Arabidopsis thaliana: one gene and its partners. The protein of the gene in region 3 interacts with the protein of the main gene of each other region in a pairwise test. Each region holds a gene or a part of one and is shown on either strand. Other genes may lie near its edges.

Evidence for each region.
Region 1: the proteins of OFP2 (region 3) and bZIP43 interact in a two-hybrid assay, tested with the Arabidopsis thaliana proteins (one large-scale study listed by BioGRID).
Region 2: the proteins of OFP2 (region 3) and BLH4 interact in a two-hybrid assay, tested with the Arabidopsis thaliana proteins (one large-scale study listed by BioGRID).
Region 4: the proteins of OFP2 (region 3) and BLH2 interact in a two-hybrid assay, tested with the Arabidopsis thaliana proteins (one large-scale study listed by BioGRID).

The regions. Positions count from the first base shown.
Region 1 is NC_003076.8:15,536,596-15,541,677, forward strand, and holds bZIP43 (basic leucine-zipper 43), read right to left. Parts: upstream 2,295-5,082; 5' UTR 2,208-2,294; coding exon 1,710-2,207; 3' UTR 1,546-1,709; downstream 1-1,545. Other genes in the region: AT5G38810 (F-box and associated interaction domains-containing protein), read right to left, coding at 4,011-4,495, 4,627-4,945. UniProt on the Arabidopsis thaliana protein: Probable transcription factor involved in somatic embryogenesis. Acts as a positive regulator of BHLH109.
Region 2 is NC_003071.7:10,106,487-10,116,259, forward strand, and holds BLH4 (BEL1-like homeodomain 4), read right to left. Parts: upstream 6,520-9,773; 5' UTR 6,400-6,519; exon of another isoform or gene 6,293-6,399; 5' UTR 6,251-6,292; coding exon 5,294-6,250; intron 4,527-5,293; coding exon 4,135-4,526; intron 3,133-4,134; coding exon 2,916-3,132; intron 1,939-2,915; coding exon 1,465-1,938; 3' UTR 1,223-1,464; downstream 1-1,222. UniProt on the Arabidopsis thaliana protein: Transcription factor that establishes leaf shape by repressing growth in specific subdomains of the leaf. Negatively regulates knox homeobox gene KNAT1/BP expression.
Region 3 is NC_003071.7:12,954,050-12,959,910, reverse strand, and holds OFP2 (ovate family protein 2), read right to left. Parts: upstream 3,467-5,861; 5' UTR 3,320-3,466; coding exon 2,357-3,319; 3' UTR 2,104-2,356; downstream 1-2,103. Other genes in the region: KIS (tubulin folding cofactor A (KIESEL)), read right to left, coding at 1-99; OFP17 (ovate family protein 17), read left to right, coding at 4,828-5,074, 5,162-5,502.
Region 4 is NC_003075.7:17,365,536-17,375,333, reverse strand, and holds BLH2 (BEL1-like homeodomain 2), read right to left. Parts: upstream 6,420-9,798; 5' UTR 6,162-6,419; intron 6,156-6,161; exon of another isoform or gene 5,979-6,155; 5' UTR 5,912-5,978; coding exon 4,733-5,911; intron 3,887-4,732; coding exon 3,495-3,886; intron 3,024-3,494; coding exon 2,963-3,023; coding exon of another isoform or gene 2,939-2,962; exon of another isoform or gene 2,507-2,938; coding exon of another isoform or gene 2,447-2,506; exon of another isoform or gene 2,199-2,446; coding exon 1,611-2,198; 3' UTR 1,323-1,610; downstream 1-1,322. Other genes in the region: CP1 (cysteine proteinase1), read left to right, coding at 1-68, 162-302, 388-642. UniProt on the Arabidopsis thaliana protein: Transcription factor that establishes leaf shape by repressing growth in specific subdomains of the leaf. Negatively regulates knox homeobox gene KNAT1/BP expression.

The DNA of each region.
Region 1 (5,082 bases), on a different chromosome or scaffold from region 3:
ACCGAAATATAAGTTGATTTAATTACATTTATATTAAGGTGGAATTTTAAGTCTATGCATCAAGCTAGTCATGATAAAACTTCATCCCACTGGTATTATAGATTTTCAACTCTAAAATCAATTGGTAGTTAGTGTATTTGTCGATGTATTTTATATATTATTTTAATTCCTTCTAGCTTTTGATGTGAAATCCTAACGGACCCTTCTAATAAATTAGATTTCACTGGATCCAAAATCAAAATGAATTAGAACTAGTAATGAGTTCTTTGAATATTAGTTAAGATCTCTTATACATTATTTAAGGGCTTTTTAAAAGATGATATAGGATCCTACCATTTCCAAAGACCAATGAACCAATCATCGAACGAAAACGAAGCGAGGAAAAGAAATAAAACAAACATACTTGTCTCAACTAAAGAAGTTACTTTAGTAACATATATAGACTACAGAGACTACTTTAGCTCACACACGCACAAACCTATATATAGGCTGAGATTGTGATGTATATTTATACAATAATCAAAGTGAAAAAGAAAAGAAAAAAGATGGATCGATGATTTTGAGAACTGGGACCAAACTGTTATTATTTTGACTTACCAAAAAAACAAAAACTTATGTCATTTGTTCCTGTCCTGACCATAAAGTGTTGTGTGTTATATTGAATTGTATTTCCAGCTTTTGAGGTGGTTTAGAAAAGCTGTCTCTATTTCTTTCTTCGGCTTTCAATCGCAAGTGTCTCTTTCAGTCTTCCACTTACATTATGTTATGTGATTTTAGTGGCTAAGCTCTTTGTTTTCTTGGCCGGTAAGTTTCTCACCCACACGAATTCGAAGAAAAAGCCGTTTGTTTTCTTGACTGGAAAGGGGTCTCCTTTTACGTAAGATTGTTTGTTTGTCTTCTTGTCTGAGATTGATGTAAGCTTGATTTAACATTTTATCCAAGTTATAGGTTTACTTATGCCGCTGAACAGATTTACCAATAATCAATAGTGTAATTTAGGTTTTTAAAAAATAGCATTAACTGCTTTCTAAGCCAAATCTTGCAAAACCTCAGTCCATGCACTACCAATACAAGGTACTAAAATAAAATAAAATACAAGGTACTAAAATACTACAGATAAAAGCTCTTCTTTGCTTGACATAATTAGATTTACGAGAGTTTCACACACAAGTACACAACCATGTAAGGTCTTAATTGTTTTTGTTTGCGTTAGATTTACGTATTTGCTTTTCATATTCTTATTATTTTAATCACAATCTTAATTCTTTTCTTAATAATTTTTCAACATAAAAATGCAAATGGAAATGGAAGAAAATAAACCGTTTACGGCTGGTGTATATTTTTTTCAAAGACACTACTTAAGCCAATTTAGAAAGAACAAAATTGGTCATTATAAACGTAAAATTTTAAAGAGAAAAAGAAGAAAGTCTACTGTTAGTAATTGATGCTTGTATTTACATTTTGCAAAAATATTTATGCATGTAATTTTTTTTAAAATTATACTTCAGCAATGTGAATTTTTATCGTTTGTTATGCAAACAATTGTGAAACAATTTCTTACTTCTATTCACGGGCAACACAAGTTTGAAGAACTCTGCTTTAACAATTACTAATTTAGAGTCTTAATTAAATCTTAAGCTGAGACAGATCTCTGGATATACATTTGTTGATACATACTAGAGCCCCAAAAAAATAAAAATAAAAATCATCTATACAACGTCGTCGTCGTCTCTGATGCAAGAGAAAGGACTCTGATTCTGAAGCTGCATATCACTAATCATTTGCTTAAGCTCAGTGGTTTCCTCTTTGAGCTGAACATTCTCTTCAATAACCTTCTCTTGAGACTCTAAAACGCAGTTAAGCTTACGAAGCAGCTGATGATTCTCATCCCTAAGCCACATCACCTGTGACCAAAGCTCATCCACTTGTCTCTGCTTCCTCATACGCGATCTTCTTGCCGATTCTCTGTTAGATATCTTCCTCTTTTGCTTCCTCTCATTTATTATCTCCTTATGATTCTCTTCTGCTTCATCTGAGGTCGAGTTGTTGCTGCTGATCAAACTCATGAACTGTGAAGTGTTCACGCCAGTTTCGAAGCTGAAGAATGGATTAGGGTTTTGTCCGCAAAATGGTGAGGATGTAGGAATATGGGAAAGGTACGAAGGTGGACAACCATGGAGGCTAAAAATGTTGGTGGATGGTTGCATTATCGGTGGAGACTTGGGACGCAAGGTAGGGTTTACTCTTAGGTGATGGAAGAAAAGAAAGATTGTAGGATTTAGGGAATTGTGATGAATGTTTGGTGTGTGTGGTGAGAAGAGGTGTTCATATAGACTAGTAGGGGGACAATTGTGGACCATGGTTTCTTCATTTGGGTCAAACCAATATAAAAGCATCTAACAATCATGCAGCTAAAACGTGTATTTATATAACTTTATTTATTATTTAAAAACACGATCTATTTTTTCACCTATAAAATTATTGAACTACTTAGAACGAAATCTAAATAACTTATTTTTTAAAGCCTGTCTAAGATTTATTAGAAGTTGGTTGAAGTCTTAGGGTGAAAAATGGCTTTGTAAATGAATGATTGGGATTAATTGAGTTTTTCTTTTCTTTCAATGGCTAGGAAACAAATTGTTTTTTTTTTGTTGTGTGGAAATTTCAAATATCTTTCAACTTATTTTTTAAAACCTATCTAAAATTTATGAGAACTTGGTTGAATTTTTGGGGTGGAAAATGGTTGTGTGTAAATGAATGACTGGGAATAATTGAGATTTTTCTTTCTCTCAATGGCTAGGAAACAAATTTGTGTTTTTTTTTTTGGAAATTTAAAATAACTTTCAACTTATTTTTCTGCAAAATAGTAGATAAATAAATTGAACAAACTACTTTTATAATTTGGTCAATTTTTTTCAATTTTGAGTTGAATGAATTAAATCATTTTTTAATAATTTATTCATCTTAAATAGTAAACGTTTGGAGAAATTTCAAAATGTCCATTTTCTAATACCGTACCACCACTTTTTGAAAATGACTTCTATCTAAAATCTTTTAAATATTTTATTATATTAAGCTTGGTTTAATATATATACATGTAAAATTACACATTTAGAAAAAAGTAATTAAAGCATATAATATTTTATAGAAGTGTCGGATTGACACATATAGCAATCATGCGTAATTCTTCATTTTCGTCGTATTTTGCTAAAAGTTCGACCTATGTAATTAGATTCTGTTAGGGGAAGGGTGGTGATTTTGAAATTTAACCTTTTGAAACCCAAGAAACATATGGGCTTTTATAACCATCCAAATTTATATTATCTTTAATTTTTTTTTAGTGTTGTTAGAAAAAAAAAAAAATATTACGTGATGGACTTAATTAGTACTAGAGGAAAGCATCTCATCAAGAAGAACAGAAGAAGCATAAACAGACCTATGAATGAGACCTTGAAAAGGTTGAGAGAAAACAAATTTAAGAAGCTAAGTGTCCAATTCTTTTGCATATTTGATGTGTTCGTTTAGTTTTAATAAAGCATAAATCTTTGTTCATAAGATCTCAACAGAAAATGAACTACAAATCTCTAATCAATCTACAGTGGTATTCATATCACATGACTTTCTTGTTTTAACATCAATTCTGACAATTCAACTATTCAATCATTGACCACATCGGTTTCTTAACAATCAAGTTATTGGATATAGAGAGCCCTCTTCACCTAGGTAAAACCTCATAGGCCTTTTGATAACCATACAAAAAAATATTAGTTTGCTCTCACTCTACGCCAACAGGGTGATAAAGCTCACACGTAAGTAACCTGTAAATGACAAGTAACACTCTTAACCAAAATAGCTTGACTCGTTGGCTTGGCTTTCAAGATAAGATCCTCACTCTGAGTTACCTAGTAAATCGTACTTGTTCTGCAGGAGGATTGCCTGCTTGTTCTTTACATGTCGACGTTGTTGTGGTTTTGACTTGAGTTGCTTCGAATCGTCAATACTAAGATCCTCTATATAGTCAAAGGCAAAAACATTGCGAAAATATTGTCGTTTCTAATCCGATTGACCTTAATCTTCGGCAAGGAGTAGATATACTGTGACCATTCCTGTTTCTCAACATCCTCTAGAACCCACACACACAACTCACGGGGATGTCCATCACCAGCATCACACTCCAATTTAGTCACACCTAATTTACCCTTGTAGTTTATAAATTCTCTATGAAAATTAGAGAAGTCTTTTCCATCAAGAAACTTGAATTTCTCAGACCTAACATTAAAGGAAACTACTAGAAAACACGATGTCCTAGCAAAGTAATACAAAACCCCATTGATGGATAAGGCTCTACCATAATAAGGTTCATGGGTTAAGGGACATATCATCTTCCTCCACTTCAAATTTTCAGTTCCTAATGTCAGAATATAATGAACCCATTCTTTATTGAGTCTCTTGTTCATGCACAAAACCTTATGTTGCTTGCCAATCGGATCAAACCCTAAAAAGCTTCTTGACGTTTTGTAGCCATTTGTTCAGGTAAGCTAACATAGCGTCCTGTGATAGGGTTAAATATCACACAAACTGAAGCCTTTGAGGTCCAAATATCATGGACAGGGATATGGAACAAACCAGAGACATAGCTACACATGTATAGGTTCATGTCTTCATGGAACTTCATATGATTATGAAAATCTACTTCAAGGGACGGATTCTGAGACTGAGGCGAAGAGTAGAATATCAAACCACTTGCTTTTAAGACCGCAAATAAAAGACGTGGACGAGCGGATGACTTCGTTATGAACAACTCGGTGAAATCTTGACGGTAAAGTATGGACGCCCATAGCTTCGACACGCAACGACACCGAGCGATTGACTTTGAAGACAATCTCAATGCTATCTCCACAAAGAGATCATCTGGAATGGAATCAAAAGTTTTTCTACTTTCCATGATCAGACGGAGAAAGATCTTTGAGAATAAAAATCTCACAGGCTCACTCTACAAATAGATTTGGAATAAATCTCTTAAGAGGTCGACCTAATTAATTAGATGATGTTAATTAATCTTAGGGAGGTGGTGGTGAATTT
Region 2 (9,773 bases), 2.8 Mb from region 3:
TTTTTCATATAACAAAGGACAAAAGAAGTTGCTATATTGTGCTTTTGTATACCAGCCAAAAATAATAATGAATAAAATCTGTATATGAAAATTTCCAATTTATATATTCTTTTATAAGAGTATGGTAGCTAAAGGACAGTGGTCAGACAAGAAGGGTTAAAAAATGGACCACAATACGATTGAAATAAATGTATTTAGTAAATTCATATCATATGCATTTAATGAGTTTATAATTTCAGGCTGCACCTTTATTTAGTCATAAAAATATAAGACGGAAATAGTTTAAGACGAACAAATTGTTGTACAAAATCATTTTGTTTGAGTTTAATTTATAGTCTTGTTTATAACTTTTATTACCTTTATGGACCGGTGGATCGATAAATTAACTTGAAAGTATGTTGCTCCCTAAATACTGTTCCGGGTTATTGGTTTCACCAAAGACATTTATTAAAACATGAAATGTCAAATCATGTAAGATTTATATTGCCAATTATAGTGTCATCATACTCTCCTAATAGAGTATATAAAATACTTCGAATAGAAATTTATTAGTTGTAAGGAATTAGGTGAAACGTAGATATTATTGTTTACTAAAATAATTGAAGTGACTTTTAAGAAAACCCTTTGTAAACAATTCAAGTAATGAGTCCTATTACAAAAAGTAATGAGTAGCACCATGGCAATGAGCTTAATGTCCCTTTGTAGAACTAAAACGTCTCCGTCTCGATTGACATATCCCCCAATATGACATGTAACCAAACCTTTGGAGTTTTGGATAATTGTTTCTCAGAGAAAAAAACTAAAGAACCTAACTCAAAAGATTATTTGTTTTCTTTTTAAACAAATATGTCACGTTTTTCTTAACTATTTTACTATAAACTGAAGATAATACAATTGTTAATAAGTCGATCGGGTACGTACCAAGTATATTTTGTTGCTATTACTAAATTAAGGAGCACATAGTTGTAGTAAGTAGGGATTAGTTGAGATGATTAATTTGATATTACAAGGAAAGTGATGTGACTTATTGGCGCTTTCCTAAAAGACTGTTGTCGCTTATTAGCAAAAATCAAATGGAAGAATCCAATAAATGCTACACGAAATTTAGTTTCCAGAAAATATATGTACATAATCATAATCTAAAACAAAATTTAGAGTAATTTGGCAGGGGTATTAATATGAACAAAAAATTAGTATGAACAAAACTATACAAAAATGTAAGGATATAAGTTTCATGAATAAAATAAAAATATGTGCATAATTATATATGGAACTTTGGTAGCTAGATCTCACTTGATATATGTATATCTCTCTTCTTCTTACGACAGAAAAGACAGAAAAAAAAACTAAAGAAGAAAGGAAATTTTAAAAGTATGTGAAGAAACTAAAAACATATATCGATAAACCAAAAAAATAAAATTCACTATAATAAATTTTGATGAATAAATTGAGAAACAAAGAAGACTAAAAATCTCCAAAGTCTCTAACGGAGAAAGAAGTGTTCTTATCAGGAATATTGCCAGAGTGGCGTAGACCAAGCGTAAGAGACACGTCACCAGTCTGTTTGGTCCCGAATCTTATGACGTTCACACCATCTCCGTCGACGTGGAAGTCACTGACGTCTTGCTGACACGTGGCGACGGTGAACGCGTCTGAACCGCCGTGAGAAGCGGCGGCGACGGAAGAGAGGAATGAAGAGTCGTTTTCGTGATGTGTCGATGTCATCGTCGTTGGAGTTTGTGCGGTTATGACAGTGAAGTTGTTTTCATTGTTGTTGGGTTTCGTGTCGTTGTTGTTTGTTTGTTGCTGTCTTCTTTGTTGTTGTTGATTTTCATTTTCTTCTTCTGCTTCTTCTCTTTCTTTTGCTTCTTGTTGATACATCTCTTCCACCATTGGTTTCCATAGGCGAACCCTAGCATTTATGAACCAATTTGACACCTGAAAAAACGAGACATATGAACTAATATTAATCACAATTTACTCTTAACAAGTTTATAATATTAAAAGAAACTTAACTTTTAGAAGGAAAAAAAAACTTTTCAATGAAATGTGAAATACTCCTTTTTACATTAAATATGGTTTTGATTGTTTTTGTATATACTTCATTTGTTTTATATTAAGTAAAGTTAAAATAATAAGTCATTTACTGTGAAGAAAATTAGTTTAAACAAATGAAACAAAAAAAATAGGATAGCTAAAACCTTAAGTTAAAATGATAGGAAAGGAGTAAAAATTATGATACATGTGTTTCCTTTGAGACATCTATTAAAAAGAAGATATATATTAAATTTTTCATTATATTCTTACAAGAACAAGATAACTTTTGACATGTTTCAAGTAATTTTGATTTGATGTTAACTTATGTATTTACTGAAAGGCTTAGATGAAATTTCTAAATTAAAAATTTGAAACATAATAATGTTTTTTTATTTGAACACATGAAACATAATAATGTTAAAACAACAATTTGAAGGTTGAAATATACTAATGGATATTTGAAGCCAAGTGTAATAAACTACTTGTGATGTAAATAATTAATGTGTACAAGACTTAGAGGTCTGCTAGTTAACATTGAAATGAAAGCTTCAAACTTTCATGTACTTGAGAAATACTTACATCTCTCTCTCCTATGTTTTATATATCCTTGTGTGTGTAAGTGTAGATAATGTATTTAATGAAGAAAACGAACCCCAAGAAAAACAAATGATTCGTGATATTGAAAATCCATGCAAGAGAATAGACATGAAGCCACTCATGTCAGATTTTGCATGATGAAATGATTGATATATATGGTAAATTGTGAGTTAAGTACATATATGTAAATGAGTAATTAAAAGGGTTCTTGTATGATAAGTATGAAAACATATTATATTAAAAAAATATTGATGTATGTATCTATATAGATAAAGGCTGACCTGATTTCTGGATAAACCAGTCTGTCGTGCTAAGAGGTGCTTATCAGCATCGCTTGGGTACCTGAGAAAGAGACCAGAAAATGACTTCACAATCTTTAGAACCCTAAACCAATAATTTTTTTCTTTTCTCTTTTTTTGAATATAGATAGAGAGGAAAAACACAATCAAGTAGATGCAAGAAAAGGTACAAACTTTCTCCTTACAAGGGCGTGAGAATCTAAGGGACAAAAGAAAAAGCTGATTTCAGAATAGAAGCATTTTATTTTATTTTTGTATCTTAACTTATTTTTCATCATAAAGCAAAATATTTATCTGTACAACTCTTCTCTTCTTTACTTCACTAACAACAAAATAGTAAAATTCTGCAGACATTAAATAGAGAAAGTACTGATGAATAATGACAGAAGAAATTGCTTTTTTCAGCTTTTAGATTTTTTTTTTCCTCTTTTTGATTTCTGTCTTTCTTAAGGGACAATATACCAATGAAACTGTACCACTGACAAATCTGAGACTTATTTTTTTGTAGTTATGTTAATGGCATTGTTACTTCTTTTGATAATAGTATGTGGAATGAATTAAAGCAAATTAAAGAAAAAAAAACTATAAAGGAAAGGTTAGGCAGAGACAGAGAAACCCTTAGGATGCTATTATGATCCCAAAGCATAAAAGTTTGCGATCTCACTCTGCAAACTTCTTTTGTTGCATTAATTATTTAAACCCTTTAATTTGCCATGCAATATAACCTACATTAATATAAATATAAACATACAGTTTTCATGAAAGTCTCCTAGTCAATGAATTGTTACCCTTGTTATTTTGGAGTACTCTTAGCTGACCATTCTTATGGGTGGTATGAAAAGGAAAAAATATTTGATATTTAAATTTTTATTAGTAGTAATAAACATAAAATAATCAAACTCAGTGAAGAAACGGAACTTCATTTTACAAAAATTATTTTGGTTTTCTAAAAAAGCCAGCAGCTTTTAATTTTGATTGAAATAGAAATATATCTTCCCGCATAACAAAAGAGTTATAAAAAAAAAAATTTTTTTGTCACTTTCATAACTTAAGTTTAATAAACGTATATTAGTTAAAGTCTTGGTATCAATGCATTATGGTAGTCTACATTTTATAATGTATAGTCAACATTCAAGAAGATTAGTATTATCGAAGAATAAGAGTAGGTAAGTATTATTAAGGGATTAGAAAATGGACTTACGGATTAAGAAAATGCTCGAATAGCCAAGCTCTAAGGATATTAACGGAGCGTTCAGGCAAACCACGTTGCGGTCTCCATGCCTCTTGCTCCATCATACCCATATGATGAAACGCTCGTTGCTGACGCAAACTCTGCTCTAGCAAACGCAATCGCGGCGTTTCCCCTTTGGTTAACCCCGAGGATGCAGCCCCTGCCGCCTCTTTATCCCCTAGAAGCTCACAGCTGCGTTTAAGCTGAACCGCTACCGCGTCTTTCAAACACCGGAAATGCCTAGACATTGCCTTTTGAGCTAATGTCGTGTACGGAACCGCCGCGCCGTAACCCATTACTTGGTCGAATGAGTTCACTACCATTTGCATTTGTTCGCAGTAGTGGTTGTACCGTCGGTCCACCTACAAATTAAATTTTAAATAAATGAACTATACATAGATGAGTTCTTGTTTTTTTTTTATTAGCTCAATTTCTAAGATAAAATATAAACCTCAAGTGATTAGTTCGTTTAGATACTTCAATGTGTTATCTTCTCTTGCTAACAATTTATGCTATCTTGGAACATATACTAAATTCTTGAAAGAAGATAATGTCAACTACAAAATAAATTGTAAGATAAATAATGAAGTAACTTCAAGGACTAGTTTTGGTTACGTAGTGAAGGTGGCTAGCTTATATGGAGAAGGAAACTCTAATTTAAAATTTATGGTTGTGAAGACTAAATCACTTAATCAATCATATATTAATTTCTTATGTTAAATTTGATTAAGCGATGCCACCAAACGCGTGACACAAAATATGCATTAATATATCAAATTAGACCATATAACACCATATAATGATATTAGTTAGAAAAATTATATAAGTGATAGTAGGATTGCGTAATCAGGCTTTACCAACTAGAGCATGTGTCGTGCTCTTGTACCAGTCGGTCATTCTCTATACATTTATTTTTTTAAGAAAATAACATATATAGAGTTTATGAAAATATTGGTCGATTTAGAATTAATTATATAAGAAGAAAAAAATCACGAAGAAAAATAAAATTTTGTAGCGATTGATATGAAATTGGTTGTTTGATCAATTCAATCATTAGAACGGTTCATTAAAAGTTTGATAGAAAATTAATTAGTTTGGTTAGAGAAAAAATATTGAGTGAAAACGTTACCTCTTCAAGCATAGATAGTAGCTTGACTTTTCTTCTTTGATGTTCAATCCGATCAGCCGGAGACAAAGGAGGACTATCATTAGCTGTTCCGGCCGATGACGAGGACCCTCCGCCTCCTCCTCCACCGGTAGTATTAGGGTTTGAGTTGTTCCTACTAAGTTTGTTCTTCTTGAAATGTCCTCTTCCAACACTACAAAACTCTTCCAACAACTCTTGAGCCGGTTTCGTATATTTCGAATTCCTCAACGTGTAGATCCCTCCAATGGATGAAGAAGCCGCCATGGGAGATGATGATGATGAACCAAAATGTCCAACAACTTGATGGTGATGATGTTGAGAAGAAGAATTCTCAAGAAGAAGATTCTTGAACTGATTGAATTGATGATGATGAGCGGATGCGTTAGAAGAAGAAGAAGTTCCATCAACGGCTGCACAATAAATGCTTCTATATTCCTCGGCTTTAGCTGCGGCTAATGAAGATGAGAGAGATAAAGACAAACCCTTTCCTCCTTCCACGTGGACGGTTCCGATCATATCTCGGTTTTGATGATGATCGGAGGAGGAAGATGGCCATGTAAAGTGTTGTTGTTGCTGCGGCTGCATAGTGTTTTCGTCGGTGAAAGCAAAACCTTGATGATGATTTGGTAATAACATATGAAGAGTTGAGTTATTGTTGTTGTTGTGACGGTTTTGTTGCTCTAGCAACTGTTTAGTAGACTGATCAAGAATCTCTCCACCGGAACCGCCGCCACCTCCGCCAGGGTAAGCAAACATTTCAGACAACATTCCGGCGGTTTCATAAACCGGAATTTGAGCACCGGAGACGACGGCGGATTCATCTACTTCCTCTTGATGAGTGGTTGATGATGATCGGTGGAATCCATTAGAGAAGGAAAAGATTCCTTGGTGATGATGATAATCTTGTGACATAGAAGAAGTTGTAGTAGCTAAACCCATATCTTGTTATTCATTATATCTTTTTTCCAAAGCTCTTGGATCCTGTAAGGATTCAGACATACACAGAGAATCTTATATAACACATACAAAAAAAAAATACAAGAAAAAGAAAGAGAGAGAGAGAGAGAGGAGTCAACTAGGTATTATACAGTTTTTCTCCAATCTCTTTCTTGTAACTCTTTTAAGGTTCTCACTTTCAGCTTCGGTCATCATCTACATATATGGTATAGAGAGAGAGAGAGAGAGAGAGAGGAAGTACCTTGGAGTTGCAGAGAATTAAAGAAATGATTGATGATGAGCTTATAGCTATCGTTTTCTTCTATACCTCTCTCTCTAGCTTTCTTTTTCTTGAGTACTCTTTTTATTTTATATTTCTCTGTTAGTGAGAGTTTTTATTCAGCAAATTCTGCAAAACCAAAAACTTATAAAAAAATCTCTCCCAAAGAGAAAGGAAGAGAGAGGGAAGAGAGAAGAAGAGGTCGCTGTTCTTTCTTCATCGCCTCCCTTTTTAACCCACCAATCTTCTTTAATATTTTTTTGTTATTAAAATCTTGATTTATCATTTTTTTATAATGAAGTATTTTTATAAACATCTTCTTTTTAATTTTAATCGGCAAAGGTTTCTTCATATCAATAACGATGAGGAGGAAAGACAAAAAAAAACTATACACATCCTGAAATTACGAAATTATCCTTGTTTTTTTTTCTTGTCTTTTTTTTTTGTCAACGTTATTATTTATTTATAAGAGAAAAAAAAACTTTTTATCACGGAAATGTCGGCTGATATCAACATTTTAAAGGAGTTAATTTGGAAACTAATTTATGAAAGCAAACTAAAAAGAATAGGAAGATAAGGTGAGTCCAAAGGTCATATCTCAATGAACCAAACCACCACCATAAATACTTCCACATATTTTTGTGCTTCAATATATTCTTATTTCGAGCCAAAATAAAATAAAATAAAATATTCTTATTTGACAAATTAAATACTTATATAATATTCCTATGATGCTCTCTAATTTTATTCTTTAATATTGTGTGTATTTGTTGTTTAGGGGAGACCTATGTCATTTTAGACTACTTTTTCATGTATGTACATTTATTCAATTAACTAATCATACGATATATCAAAAATCGATCAAATTATAATATGAAACAAATGAAATACATAAAAATCGATCAAATTATAATTACATTTTGGTAACATATGTGGCTAAATCAATTATTTTAAATTTCTTTGCAGAAACCGCTATATTACATCTATCATCACGAAATCGTAAAAAAAAAAGCATTAGAGATTACCTCAAGCTTGATATGATAAAGCAAAAATCTAGCTGCAAATCGAGGTTGTTTCATTTTGTGTTAATTGATTAGGAAATATCTCATTCTGTGTTAAACGATACTCTCAACTTTCAAAATATTATTTTATATCTATATTAATTAATAAAACTTTATCACTCAAAGATTATTGAAATTTTTTTAAAATTGCTTTTTAGATTACCCATTTTAAAAAATATCCCTTTAACAATAATATTTTTAAAAATACCATTGTTTTAAAAAAAACCTTGATGTTATGACAACATGCCTGATGACTAAACCTCCAAATCATCTTTACAAAATATTTACTAAAATCCAAAGATTAATCCTCTGCACGATTTCACGGTCGGCCGATAGCCTTTCACCATCATCGATGTTTGTAATATGTAAACCATCCACACACAACTAATGCATGGAAAAAACGAAATTTTATGGTTCTGTAGTTTCACAACTACACCTTCAGCTATCTCTTTTTCTAAACCTATACTTATAAAATTAATTTCAGCCATACATTATAATGACGTTGTATAGATACAAACACAATTATTTTCTGTTAAAATTAACGTATCATTAGTCATTACATTATCCTAGGTATATTAAATATTAAAAAAAAAAAAATTTCCAAAATCGATTTGACGTGCGTATCCATCCCACAAACAGTTAGAGAGACATGTTGGATATATGCTATGTAGGTTATAAATCCACAATAGGATAAATACTAATGGAAGGCTTGAAAGCAAAAGTGAAAAGCCCACTTGTATATATATCTATGGAGACTTATGTTGGAATCTATCATGCCAGAATCAGATACCAAATCGAAAATTGTGTAGCACGCAAATTTTTGTTTGAACTATTTACTTAATCTAAATTAATGCAAGTGATTTCTCAATAAATATTATTTTTTGCTAACGGATAATTTAGAATATTTTTGTTGCCTATAAGAAATTGGACTATTTCCTAAATTCAAAACTGTTTGGTTATTTCTACCAATTCAGCTACTTCATAATTGAAACTTCGTGCTATTTTTGCCTCTCCCCACCTTATATATATCAACATAATTTAAGTGACCCCAACAACGCTTACCAAATTATTTATTGTTTTGAAAACACATTTGTTTGTGTGAGAAAATATGTGTAAGTTATTTTTACATTTCCTATATGAATCGTGATTCATGGGCAGCCAAGTAAATGATTAATATTTCATCGAACTAAATCAAAATTTAAGTTTGTAAATAATCAAAATTAGAAATATTTCTCAAGCCACTTTTTTATTTGCACAACTTTCTCCAGCCACCTAAAATCTTATTTTCATAGCTCACGTCCTTGAAATAGCAGAAAATTAAAACAGAAAACAAAGAAAGAAGTTACATTAAAATTCTCCAAATATACTTTTATGATTTTAATTTTCACATATTTTTTTTCTAACTGCAAATGGGATTGACAGTTGACAGCCCAACCTTCTTCACTCCTACCAGTATCTTTCTATTTTCGATTTATTTTCTATGTTTGAAAACTAAAATTTGTTTTCCGAAAAAAATAGTTTTTGGTCGGGTGAATCTCTCACGTGAATCCCACCCCTTAACTCACACGTATGCACAACCATCGATCACGTGTGGAACCTCCTTTTTCACACGTATGGTGTGTCCTTTATCCTCCTTTACGCATTTAATAGATAGGTAACTCAAAACATGTAATGGATCCTTTGGTTTTAGTCTCTTCAATGGTGGTTGCAAAATCTTCCAAATATCTCTTTGTAACTTCATCAACACGTTACTCTCCTCTCGTCCTCACATTCATTGATTCTTCAATACTGGATACAACAATGTCGATGAATCATTAACAAAGCACTAAAAAATAAACGTCGATACAAAATTTGTGAGTTGAAAATCTTATATATAGGTTGTAAAGGCGTATTGTAAATAACTTTCTTAAATTTTTTATATGTAGAACTAAGATAATCTTCAACTCATCTCCATTTTCATCTTCACAATAGAGTTTGGAGTAAGATTTCTCCAACCCATCTCCATTTCCAATTCCAAATATAGATCTCCATTTTTTTCAGATTAAGAGAATATTATTTTTTAATTTAGACTAAAATTTAGAGATTTCCTTAATTTTTCTCCAAAATAGCAAATTTTTCATAAATTTTTAGACTACGCGCTACAAAAAGTGGTATGTTCTAGCAATTTGTAGCTAAATATATTGGC
Region 3 (5,861 bases):
AGCCGCTTCTCTCTCAACTTCTTTCTCATAAGAGTGAAGCTCTTTCACAATCCTTTTACATGTTGATGTTTTTATCTTCAAGTTCCTTATCGTTGCCATTGGATTCTGAGCAAGTACCAAACACAGGACAACCAAAATTAGGGTTTCTACATCACCAGCGAAACAACTCAAACGCAACGATTCTATAACTAGGTTTTGCGATCTCCTTTAAACTTCGATGTCGAATTTGAAATTGAAATAGGGCGATTAGATCAAGACTAATGTAGGTGATAATTCTACGATTCGTGCATTGCAATAGATCGGGAACATTTTGGAATTCATCGATTTCTTTTACTTGATTCCGATCTACATTGAGATCGACACAAAGCTAGATTCGATTGAAAATTAAAGGAAGATATACTGTGAAATAGAAGAAGTAGGGTTTAGAAACGAACCAGGCGATGATGGGAGAAGAAGGTTGCTTCCGATGAATTTGAGAGAGAGGACGCGGCGTAGAGCGAGGAGGAATCGAAGAACAACAATATACAGTTTCCGATTTCGATTTCTTCTTTTTCCTTTGCTTTCAATTCTGAATTATTAAAAAAAAAACTTAATACTGGATATGCACTCACTTGTGTGCTCGCATTACGACATAAAAATGTAATTTGAGTTTTATTTCATTTCTTTGACAAAAAAAAAAAAAAAAGTTTTATTTCATTTATTTACCCTTTTTTATAGATATAAAATATGTAAATCAAACTTTTATATCGTACAATTTAAGTATATATTTTGTGTTTTATTATGTCAAGTTCATTCATTAATTTTAAATTTGATACAACAAAAGAATAATGTAGAAAGTCAAGTATACAATGATGGATGAATGGATTTACATAATGCTTTTTTGGTACGTAAACGTTAGTATTTGCTAACAAAGTATTAGTTGCGTTATTTTTTTCAGAACAATCAATCCTAATTTTAAATATTTTTATTAAAAACACTATGATACATATTAATTTACATTATAATTTGTTATTGAAAATAAAAACGGAGCAATTTTGTCATAGGTTTTTTTTTTGTCAACCACACAAAAATGGTTTACAAATTACAATGTAACTTTAAAAAATGGTATACAACTACACTAACAACCATAGGTCACAAGAAACCACACTTGCTATTTTTTCTAGATCCAAATTTCACAATTTAAAACCACACAAATTTTCTAGAAGGAATCAATATTTGGAATGCCATTTAATAAAACTTTAACTGTTATTTTTAAATATATTGAATTTAAAACGAACTTTGAATGTTTGTGTAGTTTTAGACGAACAACTAATTTGTCAAGTTAGCTAGGTGATCAAGATAGAAAAAAGTTCGTGTGAATCATATTTTGTTCATGAAAATTTGGTGTAGTTTATGGTTATGAGGTTATCTCATATCTATGTATAAAATTAGAATGTAGAATTTTGTCTGACATACTTGTTTAAAACTTAAAATTATGATACATATATCACCTATTCTTTTTAATTCTTAACTTTATAATCCAAAACTGCAAGATCATTTAGGCCCATTGATTTGAATATTTGTTGCTTATGTTCACTCAGAAGTCAGAAACCATACCATATCACATGTCTTTTGCTGAAACTTCATAAGCCAACTGTGGTAGGGGATGGAATTTGCAACAGTGGTCCTCTTCTTCTTCTTCATGAGTTCATTCTTCCCTTCTTCACAGAAAAAAAAAAACCCTTAAGGATTAAATCTCATCACTGTTTCTTTCTTCTTTAATCACATCTCAGTTTTATGTGTCAGTGGTCCTCTCTCTACCTTCAACGATTATCCAATGTTCTTCATGCATATATATAAACTCCGTACTTGTTGCGTTTTCAAATTGTTCATGTCTCTTCACTGTTGTCTTTTTCTTGTTGCTGTTTACCGCCATTTTCAACTTTGTATTTTCAAAATATTCAAATGATATTGGCGCAATTAATCCATCTTCATATTCTAAGAAATAATCAAATCTTGAAGCATCATCTTTTGTGAGTAGTTTTATATGTTCATAATCATAGAGAAGACAAGAATATGTTTAATTAGTGATAAAAAAATCTGTCTTAATTAACAGTGTTTTCACGCCCTTAGTGATCATGTTTGTATTAAAACGACAATATGATAACAACTTTTATTATTTGCTTACATTTTCCAAAAAGATAAATAAAGAAAACAATACATAAAAAGTGGGATTCAAAGAGAGAATCTCCACAGTTCCATCTAACTTCTTATGAACATCAACAACAAGTCAACAACTACAATTTCACAAGCAGAATGATACTAATTACTTTCACCATTAGGTTAACTACTATTACATTAAGAATTATTTTTTTCTTTACTTTGTTTTTGTAAGTTGAAGCCAGATTTGTTCGAAAACATGGATGATAAGATCATGATACTCCTTTGGATTCAAAGTAAGGTAGCAAGCAAGAAGGTCTTCCAAGTCTTTCGAAGCTCTGATGTTGTTCTCTTCTATCATCTCAATCATTGATTCCCTGAAATCTTTCTTTGGATCAACGGACCGCTTCATCACAGCGAAGCTCTCTAGAACATCTTGTTTGCTCTCTGATCTTCTAGAAGTGCTTCTACGAGTACCTGAGAGTTGAATTCTAGGTGAATTCACTCTTTTGAGGTTTATCCCAGCAGATGGTTTTCTTCCACTAGAAACTTGCCTTTGGTACTTCTTCTCGGCTTTATATTCATTATCATCTTCATCTCTTGAAATTTTCACAGAAAGATGGCTTTTCTGCGGTTTCTTAATCGGCTTGCTTGCAGTACAAGCTTTCTCTACCGAATCAATCACTTTGACCTTCTGCTTGGTGAAAGCTTTGTTCTTTGTGTTGATCTTGAAGTTGGAAAATTCAACGAACTCATCATCATCATCCTCTTCGTAGAAACTATACACAAAAGACTCAGGGGAGGTTTCAATAGCCGGGAACAAGCTGTAAGACGAATCTTGATCGTTGATCTTGCTCTTGTTGAAACTTGCAGATACAAGAAGAGGAGGAGGAGTCAAAGGTTTAAGGGATGGCTTGTAAAGTGTCTTTCTTTTACTCATCTTTTTTGTGTGAAGAGAGTTTCTTGGTGAGTTATGGTGAGGAGGATTGTTAGCTACTAAGCTGTTGGAGAAATAAGAGTGTTGAGGAAGAGAATCTGAGGAAGGTTTCTTCTTGCTACAAGTGTTTGAGGAAGAAGAAGAAGCTTTGTTTTTGGGTTTAGAGTGTTTAGTCACGTCTTTGAGCTTGTGGAACCATGCATTTGGGAGCATCTCTGAAATTCTGAACTTGTAATTCCCCATCTTGTCTCTCTCTTTTTCACAAAAGTTTGTGATATTTCTCTTAAGAAAACTCTGTTTTTGTTTCCTTAGATAAAGAAGAAGGTGAGAAAGCAAAGTTCTCTATGTGACAGATAAAGAAGAAACTGAAGATTAAAATTGGAAACTAGTGGGGCTACTACTAGAAAAAGCTTAAAGAATGTCTTTTATTAGTATCATCATCATTCATCATCAACATCAACTTGAGACATCACATTTACACGCTTGTGCTCACATAATTAATAAATTTATTTTATGGTGAATTTTTAAAATTGGTTGACTAATTGAAATTGTATTTGGTGAAAAACTGAAAATCATAAGAACATAACTTTTATCTAAAATATTATATAATTAAGGGAATAGTACAAAAATAATTATAAAACAGAGAATCAGTTGCTTCTGATTTCTGACAGATTTCTATCATCATTTCATGGAGATTTTACTCTTCATCGAAATGATAAAATAACTGAAAAATGTAATTAGCGAATTATAAAACAGTAGCAAATGTAAACAGTTTTAAAGAATACACAAAAAGGTTGACCAAATGGCAATTACAAAAGAAAAATACAGCTTCTTTTCCTCGAAGTATGCTTTTTGATTGAAAATATTAAAACGTTTCTAAACGGACAAATCAATTTAATAAATAAAAACAAAGTTTTCACAATTCAACTAAAAGTTTAACATATGTGAATCTATCTAGGTTAAAGACTCAAAGTACACGTTATAATGAAGTTCAATAGTTTCATTTCGATGCTTCTTTGAATTTGGTAAAGTGTGAACCTTATCTTAAGTTTTTAGGTAGAAATAATTTAGTATAGTAGCACTTTATGTTATATTAAGGTGATACAGATACACAAATGATGAAATTAAGATAATCAAATATGTTCCATTTTCTCCTCTGAATAAAGTGGGATCAACTTTTGAGTCATAATAATGAATATGAGAAATTTTTTGGTCTACTTTGTCCACTAACGCCGAACATTTTGAGGACACTTTTTTTCTTCTTCTATACATTTCCACTTTCCAGATCAAATGTTTTGGCAACTACTTATCTTTTAACTTCGAGAAGGAAAAAAATGATATTCAAAAATCAAAATAAAACATTTTCCATCCTTACTTTAAATAAGCACAAGTGATTATTCATATTTAAAAAATGGAGATATTTTCACTAGACGTGGGACTGGTTTATGTTCAACAATGTTGACCTACCAATATATCAACGACTTTTTGAGTATACAAAAACAAAACTATCTCATCATATTGGATTTTGTTTATAAGCAAGAGCCACCAAACATTTGCAATAAGAAAACCTTTTCTATTCTCCATTGTTTTTAAAAACTTCATGGGACTCCACCATCATGATCAGTTTCACACCCAAAGACGTGAACTCCACGCAACACAAGCCAATCCTCTAACCTTATACACACCAAAACAAAACAAGAAGCCAAAGAGGATCACAACAACAACATCATCACCAAAAAAGCTTCAAGACAATGAGAGTGAAAGCAACTTTGATTAACTTCAAATCAAAGCTTTCGAAATCATGCAACAGATTTGTCTCTCTCTTCCGCTTCCGAGTTAAAAGACCTGTCTTTATTAGACCTCTTCGTGCCCGTCATGGCAATGTCAAACCTAGACATCAACATCATCATTCCAAGAAGCCAATCTGTTCTTGTCTCTGTTTCCTCAATTCAAGCAAGAACCATAAGATGAGCAACGCCAAACATAGAAGTTCCTCTTGTAAGACAACTTCGCTACAAAATCTGTTTTAACATTGAAATTTTATCAGCTTCTTGATCTCTTTGTTCTCTTATTTTGCCATTGCAGTTAGTGTGAACGATGATGATTACTCCAAGTTTATGCAATCACCTCTTACGCCAGCAACAGCCAAGAAGCTCTTCACTTCACCCATCACGACACCTTACTCTTCACGGACCAGGAAATCGCTGAACGCAAGAGATACATTTGAAGACAATGCTGTGGAAGATGCTTGTAGAAGCTTTGAAAACTATCTGATTCATCTGATTGTTGAAGAAGGGAAAATAGATGACTTAATGGACATAGAGGAACTTCTCTTCTGTTGGAAGAATCTTAAGAGTCCTGTCTTCATTGAACTTGTCTCAAGATTTTATGGAGAACTCTGTAGAGACTTGTTTTCAGGTGAATGAACAGATCTAGTTAAATTGATCAAAACAAAAATGTTTTAAATCTGTATCTGTCAGTACTTGTGGTTTGACAATTATTGAATACAACATCTAAGGTTTCTAAGTTTAAAGTTGGGAACAATGTGTGAAGACTATAAAAGATTGTATGTTTCGGTCAATACCGGTCGGACCGGTTCAACCGGATTTACTTACCAAACTCGTCTCTTGCAATTTTATTGTTGAATAAAAAAATTATCACAACTGTGTGGACACGTGTGGTTCTCCGTCCTCACTCCTCAAGCCCCTTTCATTTTATCCCAACTGTGTCTGGTCTGATTAATGAAAAAATAAAACAAATTCGAAGAAATATAAATGAGATTTTT
Region 4 (9,798 bases), on a different chromosome or scaffold from region 3:
ATGGTGGCTTAAACACTGAGAAAGATTATCCTTACCGTGGATTCGGCGGAAAATGCAATTCTTTCTTGGTATACACTCAAAAACAGAGTTGCTCTGTTTTCACTTTATTTTCAAGAATTGCAAAATCTGATTATTTTTCCTATCTCTTTGTGTTTTTGCAGAAGAATTCTAGAGTTGTGAGTATTGATGGGTACGAAGATGTTCCTACTAAAGACGAGACTGCGTTGAAGAAAGCTATTTCATACCAACCGGTTAGTGTAGCTATTGAAGCCGGTGGAAGAATTTTTCAACATTACCAATCGGTAAGCGAACCGACATTGATTTGTGTATTAAGTAACAAAACCGGGTTTTTGGATTTTTATTAACCTGATTGGTTTTGGTTGGCAGGGTATTTTTACCGGAAGTTGTGGTACAAATCTTGATCACGCGGTGGTTGCTGTCGGGTACGGATCAGAGAACGGTGTTGACTACTGGATTGTAAGGAACTCTTGGGGTCCACGTTGGGGTGAGGAAGGTTACATTAGAATGGAGAGAAACTTGGCAGCCTCCAAATCCGGTAAGTGTGGGATTGCGGTTGAAGCCTCGTACCCGGTTAAGTACAGCCCAAACCCGGTTCGTGGAAATACTATCAGCAGTGTTTGAAATCAAGACGCTCGATAAACATTTGGGATTCTTATAACTGAATTTAATCTCGTATTGTTATTATTGTTTGTATGTATAGTATTTCAACAACAATTTCAAAAATTAGTTGATTCATCATAAGGATATAAAATTTATAAATCCTTATGTCGATCAATTTCTTTTTTATTCAAAGAAAGATTGTTTGCTTGTTTTATGTATTAAGAGAAATATAATAAAATGATATATTTCTTAAGAGCCATTGGTTTTCACTCCTTCATCCAACTAACAACATAACAAAAGTCGGTTTCTTCTACTTCTCCTCAATCTTCTTCTCATCAATTTTCATTATGCACCTCAAAAACAACATTTGTTTTTCTTCTTGTTTTCACCTGCTCTAGATGTTAACTAAGTGATCTGATAAAATAAGGTTTAAGCCGCATGTTCATAAATTCATTTTAGTCATATCTAGAAATGTCGGTGAGAAATTTATAAAAAACTGCATGAACACTGAACACATCTATAGAAACTTGTGTGATATCTATACAAAAACAGATACGCTAAAGCCCAATAAAAGAATTTTGGGCCTATCACTTTCCTTATTGATGGCCCAAACAATTGGGTCACCTCTTCAAGCTTGTATCATGGATTCATGGTAAGTGAATCTATATGATTGTAAATCAGTGATTTCGAACGATTTGGGACTGTTATGTTATAAAGTGAAGGTTTTCATTTTGAACAATTAAAGAAATCTCGAGAAATTAAATAACCAAGAATACAGATATATGAAAACAATAAGTCGTACAACGTACATTAGTTTTCGAAGGGATTTACGTATCGTTTTCTTCTCTTCACGAGATAGAAAAAAAAAAGCAGAGGAGGGCTAGACTAATGTATTGTTTTGACTTTTAAGAGACAAAAATAGATTTTCAATTAAAATAAGTAAGAATGGAAACTATAATTAATTAATTAAATGGAGTGACAAAAGCAAACTAAAAACCCCCAAACTCTCTAACGCAGAAAGAAGCGTCTTTGTCAGGCATGTTTCCAGCGTGGCGTAAACCAAGCGTGAGAGACACGTCACCAGTAGGGTTTGTCCCAAACCTTATAACGTTAACACCATCCATGTCAGCATCATCGAACCCACCTACACTTTGTTGACACGTGGCAACGGCGGAAAACGCGTCTGAGCCACCGTAACGAGAATTCAAGTCGTCAGAAACAGCGGCAGGAGCGGCGGCGTTGGAATAAGAGGAAGGGAGTAGAAGTGATGAAGCGTCGTTTTCGTAAGCATTAATGTTGGATCTTAGACGGTGGCCTGTCGCTACTGCTGCGTCTGCGTCTGATGCGTCTGGTGCGGTTGTCGTTGGAGTTTGTGAAGTGGTCCGAACGGCAGTGAAGTTGCTTTCATTGTTGTTGGATTTTGTGCTCTTGTCGTCGTTGCTGTTTTTTGTTTCTTGATCTTCTTCGTTCTCTTCTAATTCCTCTTCTCTTTCTCTTTCTTTTGATTCTTGTTGGTACATTTCTTCCACCATTGGTTTCCATAAACGAACCCTAGCATTTATGAACCAATTTGATACCTGAATAAAAGAGACAAAATTTTCACTAGTTGAATCATTATAATATCGAAATAAAATTGAGGGCTCTTTTTGTTTATTTGTCATTTGGTTATTTAATGTAGGGATACAAGAAATTGAGGGTTTCTTTGGGACAATTGAAAGCTGCAAACTTTGATGTACTTGAGGAAAAATGGACCCTTTTGCGTCTTTAATGTCGATCTCTTTCTCTCTCTCCTATGTTTTTGTATATATAAATATGCTATAATAATTTAAAGACGAATCCCAAGAAAAGCTAATGGTGAGTGGAAGGCAAAACACATGGTGTTCCTCTGTCATATCACAAACCAAACAAAGATAAGAAACAAAAACCATGCAATAGAGTCATCTCAGGCTACTAGTTAGTGTACTCGTACATGGTGTCAAATAATTTTGGCTTAGTCAAATTCGTTTTGAGTAACTACTAGTATTTATTATTTGATGTTTATAACAAGCATGTATATGTTTATGAAAATTATGAAATGGGTTTGGGTGATAAATTAATATTGTAGTTATATATATAACTGTGTACTATTGTGGAGTTTATTTATAAACATAGAATGATGGGTTTAAAACAAATCTTTAAAACACGCGGTTAAGAATTCGTAATCCAGACTGTGGTCATTTGATTGTCTGATTAAGAGTATACTCAGCTAACACAACTTGGTGAAGTAGAGGCATATGTATTTGATTCATGGAGATTTTAAATTTCATTATATCGTTGGCTATATGTATATATGTAGACTGACCTGATTTCTGGATAAACCAGTCTGTCGAGCCAATAGGTGTTTATCTGCATCACTTGGATACCTGAGAAAGAGACCAGAAAATGACATCACTCTCTATCTTTGCCCTAATAAACTCAATGTAATTTATTTTCTTTATCTTTTCACTATATACAATACAATCAAGTAGACGCAAGAAAAAGTACAGACTTTTTCCTAACAAGGGCGTGAGAATCTAACAGACAAAAGAAAAGTTGATGATTACATATCATCGATCCAGTTTTTTTTTTTTTACTTGGCTTTTTTTGTTTTGTTTTACTCTTAAAGCAATTTGTCAGAGAGGTGAAAATAGTACAAAAACACTACTCTTTTGCTTTATTTCCATTTTTTCGTTCACTCTCGTTAACAATAAAATAGCAAAATTCTAGAGACATAGTACTAAAGAAAGTAGAGGTGAAATAACGAGAAAATAAATACTTTTTCTCAGCTTTTTTCAAAATTCAGTTTCTCTATAATAATTAATAAATAACGAGAAAGAAAGAAAAAATTGACTTACGGGTGAAGGAAATGTTCGAAGAGCCAAGCTCTAAGTATATTGACGGAGCGTTCAGGCAAACCGCGTTGTGGCCGCCAAGCTTCTTGTTCCATCATACCCATTTGATGAAACGCACGGTTCTGACGCAAACTTTGCTCTAGCAAACGCAAACGCGGAGTTTCACCTTTTGTTAACCCGGAAGAAGAGATTCCCGCTGCATCTTTGTCCCCAAGAAGTTCGCAACTCTGCTTAAGCTGAGCCGCAACTGCATCTTTAAGGCATCTAAAATGTCTTGACATAGCTTTTTGAGCCAATGCGGTGTACGGTAATGCCGCACCGTGGCCCATTACTATGTCGAAAGAGTTCACAACCATCTGCATTTGCTCGCAGTAATGGTTGTACCGTCGGTCCACCTGCCAACGAAACAAAACTATACATTATACAATCCATAAATATCAATATTTGCCTTTTTCTTTTAATTAATGTTATTGTTAACTCGTGTGTGTTGTGTTATATGTTCACGTGATTATTATTTAGTGTAGATTTTATCACGGGAACCTATGCTTGTGTACGAGCATCATCTAATAAATAAACTAATGAGATTAATTAGTTACCTTTAAACGAGACAAAATAAGAAAATAAGATATTATATAGACAAATTATTGACCAGAGAATATACTTCAATGTTTGCGCAATCCTACCAACAGCACATTTTATCGTATCCTCGAGCATAAACTAAAATATTTATTTCTAGTGAGAAAAAAGCAAGGTCAACTAAAAAGTAGATAATTCAATTATGGGTAAACAAATAAGTAACGTCAAGGGTTAGCTTTAGGACGTAACTGGAGAGTAGCTTATATGGAGAAGGAAACGCCAATTACATAATTAATCGTAATTATTTAATGCATTTTCTTTGATTAATCGATTCCACCAAACGCTAAGCATCAAAATATTCAATATACTTTCTAATACGACCGTCACACGAGCAAAATGATTAAATTAATTTTAATTTTAAACAAATGATGGTAGGATTGCGCAATCAAACTCTACCAAAATAATCAAAAATAAGTAGTTAATCGAGAAAACAAAAGACCAATTCAGTCATATCAGGTTTCTTGTTTCTTTGTCATAACTCTTGGATCAATTTATGAATCTTATCGAAATGTAACGAAAACAATTTTACGTAAAATGTATGAACTAATATCACTGTAGAGTATAGACAAAGTCAAAATCAATATTAAAAGTTAATATGAACATACCTCTTCAAGCATGGTGAGTAGTTTCACTTTCCTTCTTTGATGCTCAATCCGATCAGACGCCGATAAAGGAGGATGCTCCTTGTTTGCTCCGGCCGACGAAGGAGAGCTGCCACCACCATCACCACCGCAAGTATTAGGGTTTGAGCTGTTCCCAAGTTTGTTCTTCTTCAAAAATCCTCTTCCAACACTACAAAACTCTTCCAACAACTCTTGCGCGGCCGTTGTGTACCTCGAGTTTCTTAAGATATTGACCGCTGCCATGGAAGAGGAAGAAGCAGCCGGAGATGATCGGAATTGGTTTAATACTTGATGGTGATGTTGAGAAGAATTAGCAAGAAGAGTCTTGAATTGATTGTATTGATGATGAGGTGATGCGTTAGAAGAATTGGCTCCGTAGTAAATGTTTCTATACTCTTCCGCTTTTGCTGCAGCCTCTAAAGACGATGAGAGAGATAAGGACAAGCCTTGTCCTCCGTGTCCTCCGCTGTTTTCCACGTGGACGGTCCCAATCTCCGTTTGGCTGTTGTGATGATGATGATGATGATCGGGAGAAGACTGCCACGTCGATATCTGCTGGTGATGCTGATGTGGAAGCTGATGCATAGACATATGATTAGTGTAGTTCTGATGGTGAGTTGTGTTGGTGGATGGACTTGGAAGTAACATGTGAAGAGTTGAAGAATTGTGGTGGCTCCTTGGGGAAGTTGTGGATGACGGAGACGGTGGTTGTTGCGGTGGCGGTGGATTCATCAAGAATAACTGCATGGCGGCTGCGGTGGCGGTGGCTGAATCCGTAGCATTCATAGCCGGAATATTCTGATGTTGCTCCTCAAGCAACTGCCTATTTGACCGGAAAGATTGGCCGAGGTCGAGATCTCTTCCTCCACCGCTGCTTCCGGGGAAATTAAACATTTCGGATAACATACCGGCTGATTCGTAGACCGGAATCCTACCTCCGGCGACTGAAGATTCCTCGTCCATCTCTACCCTTTGATGCTCTTGCTTCTGCTGAGTTGTTAAATTGGGAGAATCTGATCGGTCGAATCCATTAGAGAAGTTGAAGATACCTCCTTGGTGTTGATTATGATGATGATGATGATGATAATCTTGGGACATAGAATTATTGTGAAAAGTCTTCAAGAGAATTGTAGTATTAGGAGAAGTTTTAGTTATTCCCATATCAATACTTCAATCTTTTTCTTCATGATATATGTTAATATCGTTCCAGAGCTCTCTCTCTCGGATCCTGTAATGATTCAGACAAAGAATTTAAAACATATGTAAGTCAGAAACTAGGTCTTACGCTGTTTTTTTGTCCATCTATCTACATCACCTATATAACTGATGATGAACAAAGACATAGAGATATATATATGTAGGTATCTATATATATGTATGTATGCAAAGAGAGAGCATAAGAAGATAATACCTTTGGAGTTTGTTGCAGAGAAGATAATTGAGCTTAGGTATCGTTTTCTCTCTCTCTTTCTCGCTTTCTTTTTCTGGACTCTCCTTTTCTTTCTTACTAAGAGTTTATTCAGAATTCACAAATATTATAAAAGATATATATATCGGAAAGAAAAATATGCGAGAGAGAGGTCACTCTTCTTTCTTCTTCGTCACCCTTTTTAGCCCACCAATCTTCTTTATTAGTTGGTTTCCTATATATATATAAAGCTGCTCGTGCAAAAAAAAAATCGGTGATTTTTTAAACTATGGTTTCTTATGAAAGATTTAGTTGAAAAGGTTAATAGTAGGATTGAAGGATAGAAATTTCTAAGATGCGTCTTTTTTTCACGTAAATGTCTTCTGCCATTAACAATTTGAAGATGTTTATTTTCGTAATTTTTTTTTTTTTTTTTTAAGTGAGTACAAGGTCATATCTCAATGATACGAACCACCACCATAAATTTTAGTAATACTATCGTGACAAAAAAAAAAAACATATATAATATTTAAAATACTGCCATATTTATATTTCCCATAATACCCTCATCTGTCATTCTTCTGATTTCACTGGACTGACTCGCAGATAGGGTCAATTAAGTCCATATTTACGTAACTGGTCATTGTTGGTGCATAGCTCCCCAGTCCTCATCAGCATAATTTAAAGTCTACACATTTATTTTAAATGTAGCATATCTCTATTATCTTAACCTGGAATACCCTAAAAGATCTTCGTAAATAAAAAACTTCATAAAAAAAAAAAAAATCTTCTTAACGTTTGTTAATTTTTTTTTTCTACTACATCAAAATTGAATTTACTTACTTTATGCGAGAATATGACTCTCTAAAACTCCGTACGACTGGTCGTAATCACAACACCACAACAAATTAATCTCATATAATCAATTGATTTTAAGTTCTAACCACAAGTTAATTATCCCTTCCAATCGACTTTTCAGGGAAATGACAAATTAGTTACATATTAATTAGCATTTTCTAATGATAACATAATATATCCCACATACATATATACCAATACAGTGTTAAATAAAATGTAAGCTGTATTTTCTAACAATTAGCATGGCCGAAGTAATAATACTCATGCAAAATAATGCAAAGGCTAGAAAAAGTATATATTCAAACTATTTTTTCCGGCCATCGATCTTGTGATCATAAATTAAATTTTACTACTTGAGGGTCGAGTACGATGTAACTATGAATGGCTTGAAGGATAATGTAATGAAATTCGGTGTGCATTTTTTTTGTTTGGTGTATCAAATAAACAATAAAAGATGAGAGTTCGCACGAGCGGGAGTTGTGGTTTGGAACGTGTGAAAGGTAGGAGGACGGTTCAGAAGTCAAGTGCTCAAAATGTTAATTAGGTTTATGTGGGGGATAATCTAGAAAACCGATGAAATCGACACATAACCGTTTTTTTGGTTCAACAGCTTTGAGTTCGAGTACTTGAGTTTCTTTTTTTGGTATGGCTAGACTATATTTTTAATTCCATGGTTAATATATAGATATCGGAATTTCTTTCTTAAAGCGGTGACATATTTCGTATCACGTCTGTCTTGCTAAAAAAATAGCATTCCCAAATTCGAGTTTTGGTGCATATCCCACAAATGGTTAGAGAAAGTATTAGATATCGCACCGTAGGCATAAGTCCATATTGGGATAAATAATTAATGGAAATGTCGAAAGCACAAGTGTAACTCCACTTATATAATAACATTGAATTTTGTTTATTGTGTGACACCATGTGGGAATCTTTCATGTCAAAATCATATCAGCACGCAAATTCTGTTATTTTTTATTTTTTATTTTTACACAGTTAATTCATGTCGGAGTAGTAATTAAAATAAAATAAAATAAAAACACTCTGTTTTTCCATTTTAATATTCCCTAGAAACGTAAAATTTCATAAAAATACGTTGCAGGTTTTATTTTAAAATTATAGCTACAAAAGTTTTATGTTCCAACTACAAAACCTGGAATGACAATTGACAGCTTAACCTTTCTACCTTCCTACCGATATTTTTTCTCGTTTTCTATTTTTTCCTTTCTGAAATAGAAATGGTTCAATCTCTCTCACGTGAATCCCACCCTCCTTTCACACGTATGCACAACTATCTGTTACGTGCCGAACCTTCCTTTTTCGTACGTGTGGAGAGGATCTTCTTCTTAGGCATTTATACTCTTTACCCACCAAAGCCAACTTGTAATGGATCCTTTTTCCTCTGCTTTATCATATCTTCAATGGTGTCAATTGTCTAACCTTCAACATATTTATTAGTCTCTTCATTTTTATTTCGACACGTTTCCGCTTTTCGACCTCACATGAACATTCAATTTCATAGTATCGAATATTTTGATTGATTTTTTAATTTCTGCGTCTTATAACCAAAGCTATGTAATGTGTTTAACTGTTCATTATCATTGAAATGTGTTCGTAGTTTAATGTAACCGGTGTATTTTGGATAGCTCTTGGATCAGAAAGTGTGATCATGTTGTGAGGTTGAGTCATTTCGACAACACAAAGGAGACTAATTTACTTGCTATGATCAGTAAGAATGTAAATCTTTAGTTGATTTTTTTAAGGTTTTAGATGAATGTATAACCTATAAATTTGGTCCTACGAAAAACAAAAAACATGAAAGCAAAGACAATGAGTCCATAAAACAAAATGTTTGCTACCAAAAATCACAAACTTATAAAGAAATATTTACACAATTAGTTTTTCACGAAAACCAAATGATTATATATATACAAACTCGTGGTGATAAATTATGATTAAATATGAAATGTTATTATATATTGCAATGATCTGTTATATCTGTCGTGATAGGTTTCATATTACCTGACTATAACAACGTTGATTTCCAGATCCTGTTTTCAGACAAAAGGATCATGAACTAAGTTATTGTTGAAAAGGCTTTCATCGGGTTTGGTCTTTTAAGTACGTTGAAGGAAAAATTATGAGTTATCATCCAGATTCGATAAAATTAGAGTTAGGTTTGATTTGATTAAATGTGGTGCAATTGCAATTTGTTAGAAGATTAAAGTCACCACTTTCTCTAAAGGAGATAAAAAAAGGTTTGATTAGCCAAAAGCTATTACAAGGACTCATAATATAGTCTCATAGCCACGTAGGTTTGATTTATTGTCTAGTCAATATACCATATGGTTTCATATCCATCAATCGTCGTCATATGAAATTCTGCAAACCATTATTATGCCTCATGAGTTTGAAAGTTGCCGGAATTACATTCTTTTTTACTGATTTTTTTTTTGGTAATTTCTAATTAGTGGTAATCTCCTTTGTGAGCTTAAGATTCATATGAAAGTTTTGTTCATTCTTAACTCTGTAAGAAGTTTTATTATACATAAAGTTGTAAACAATAAAGTCGATGAGAAAGAAACAAATAAATTTGATTATTTGTCATGAGTAATGGGAGAGTGAGACCACAAAGGGAGTTGTGAAAATGGCAGTGATGGTCCCTTCTTATTCCATTTCTTGTCCTTTTGGTGTTACTCAAATTGTTCCTTTCGTATTTACTTTTTTTTTTCTTTCTCATCTTCTATTTTAGATTCTTATTTCATTGGTTTGATGAGTAATA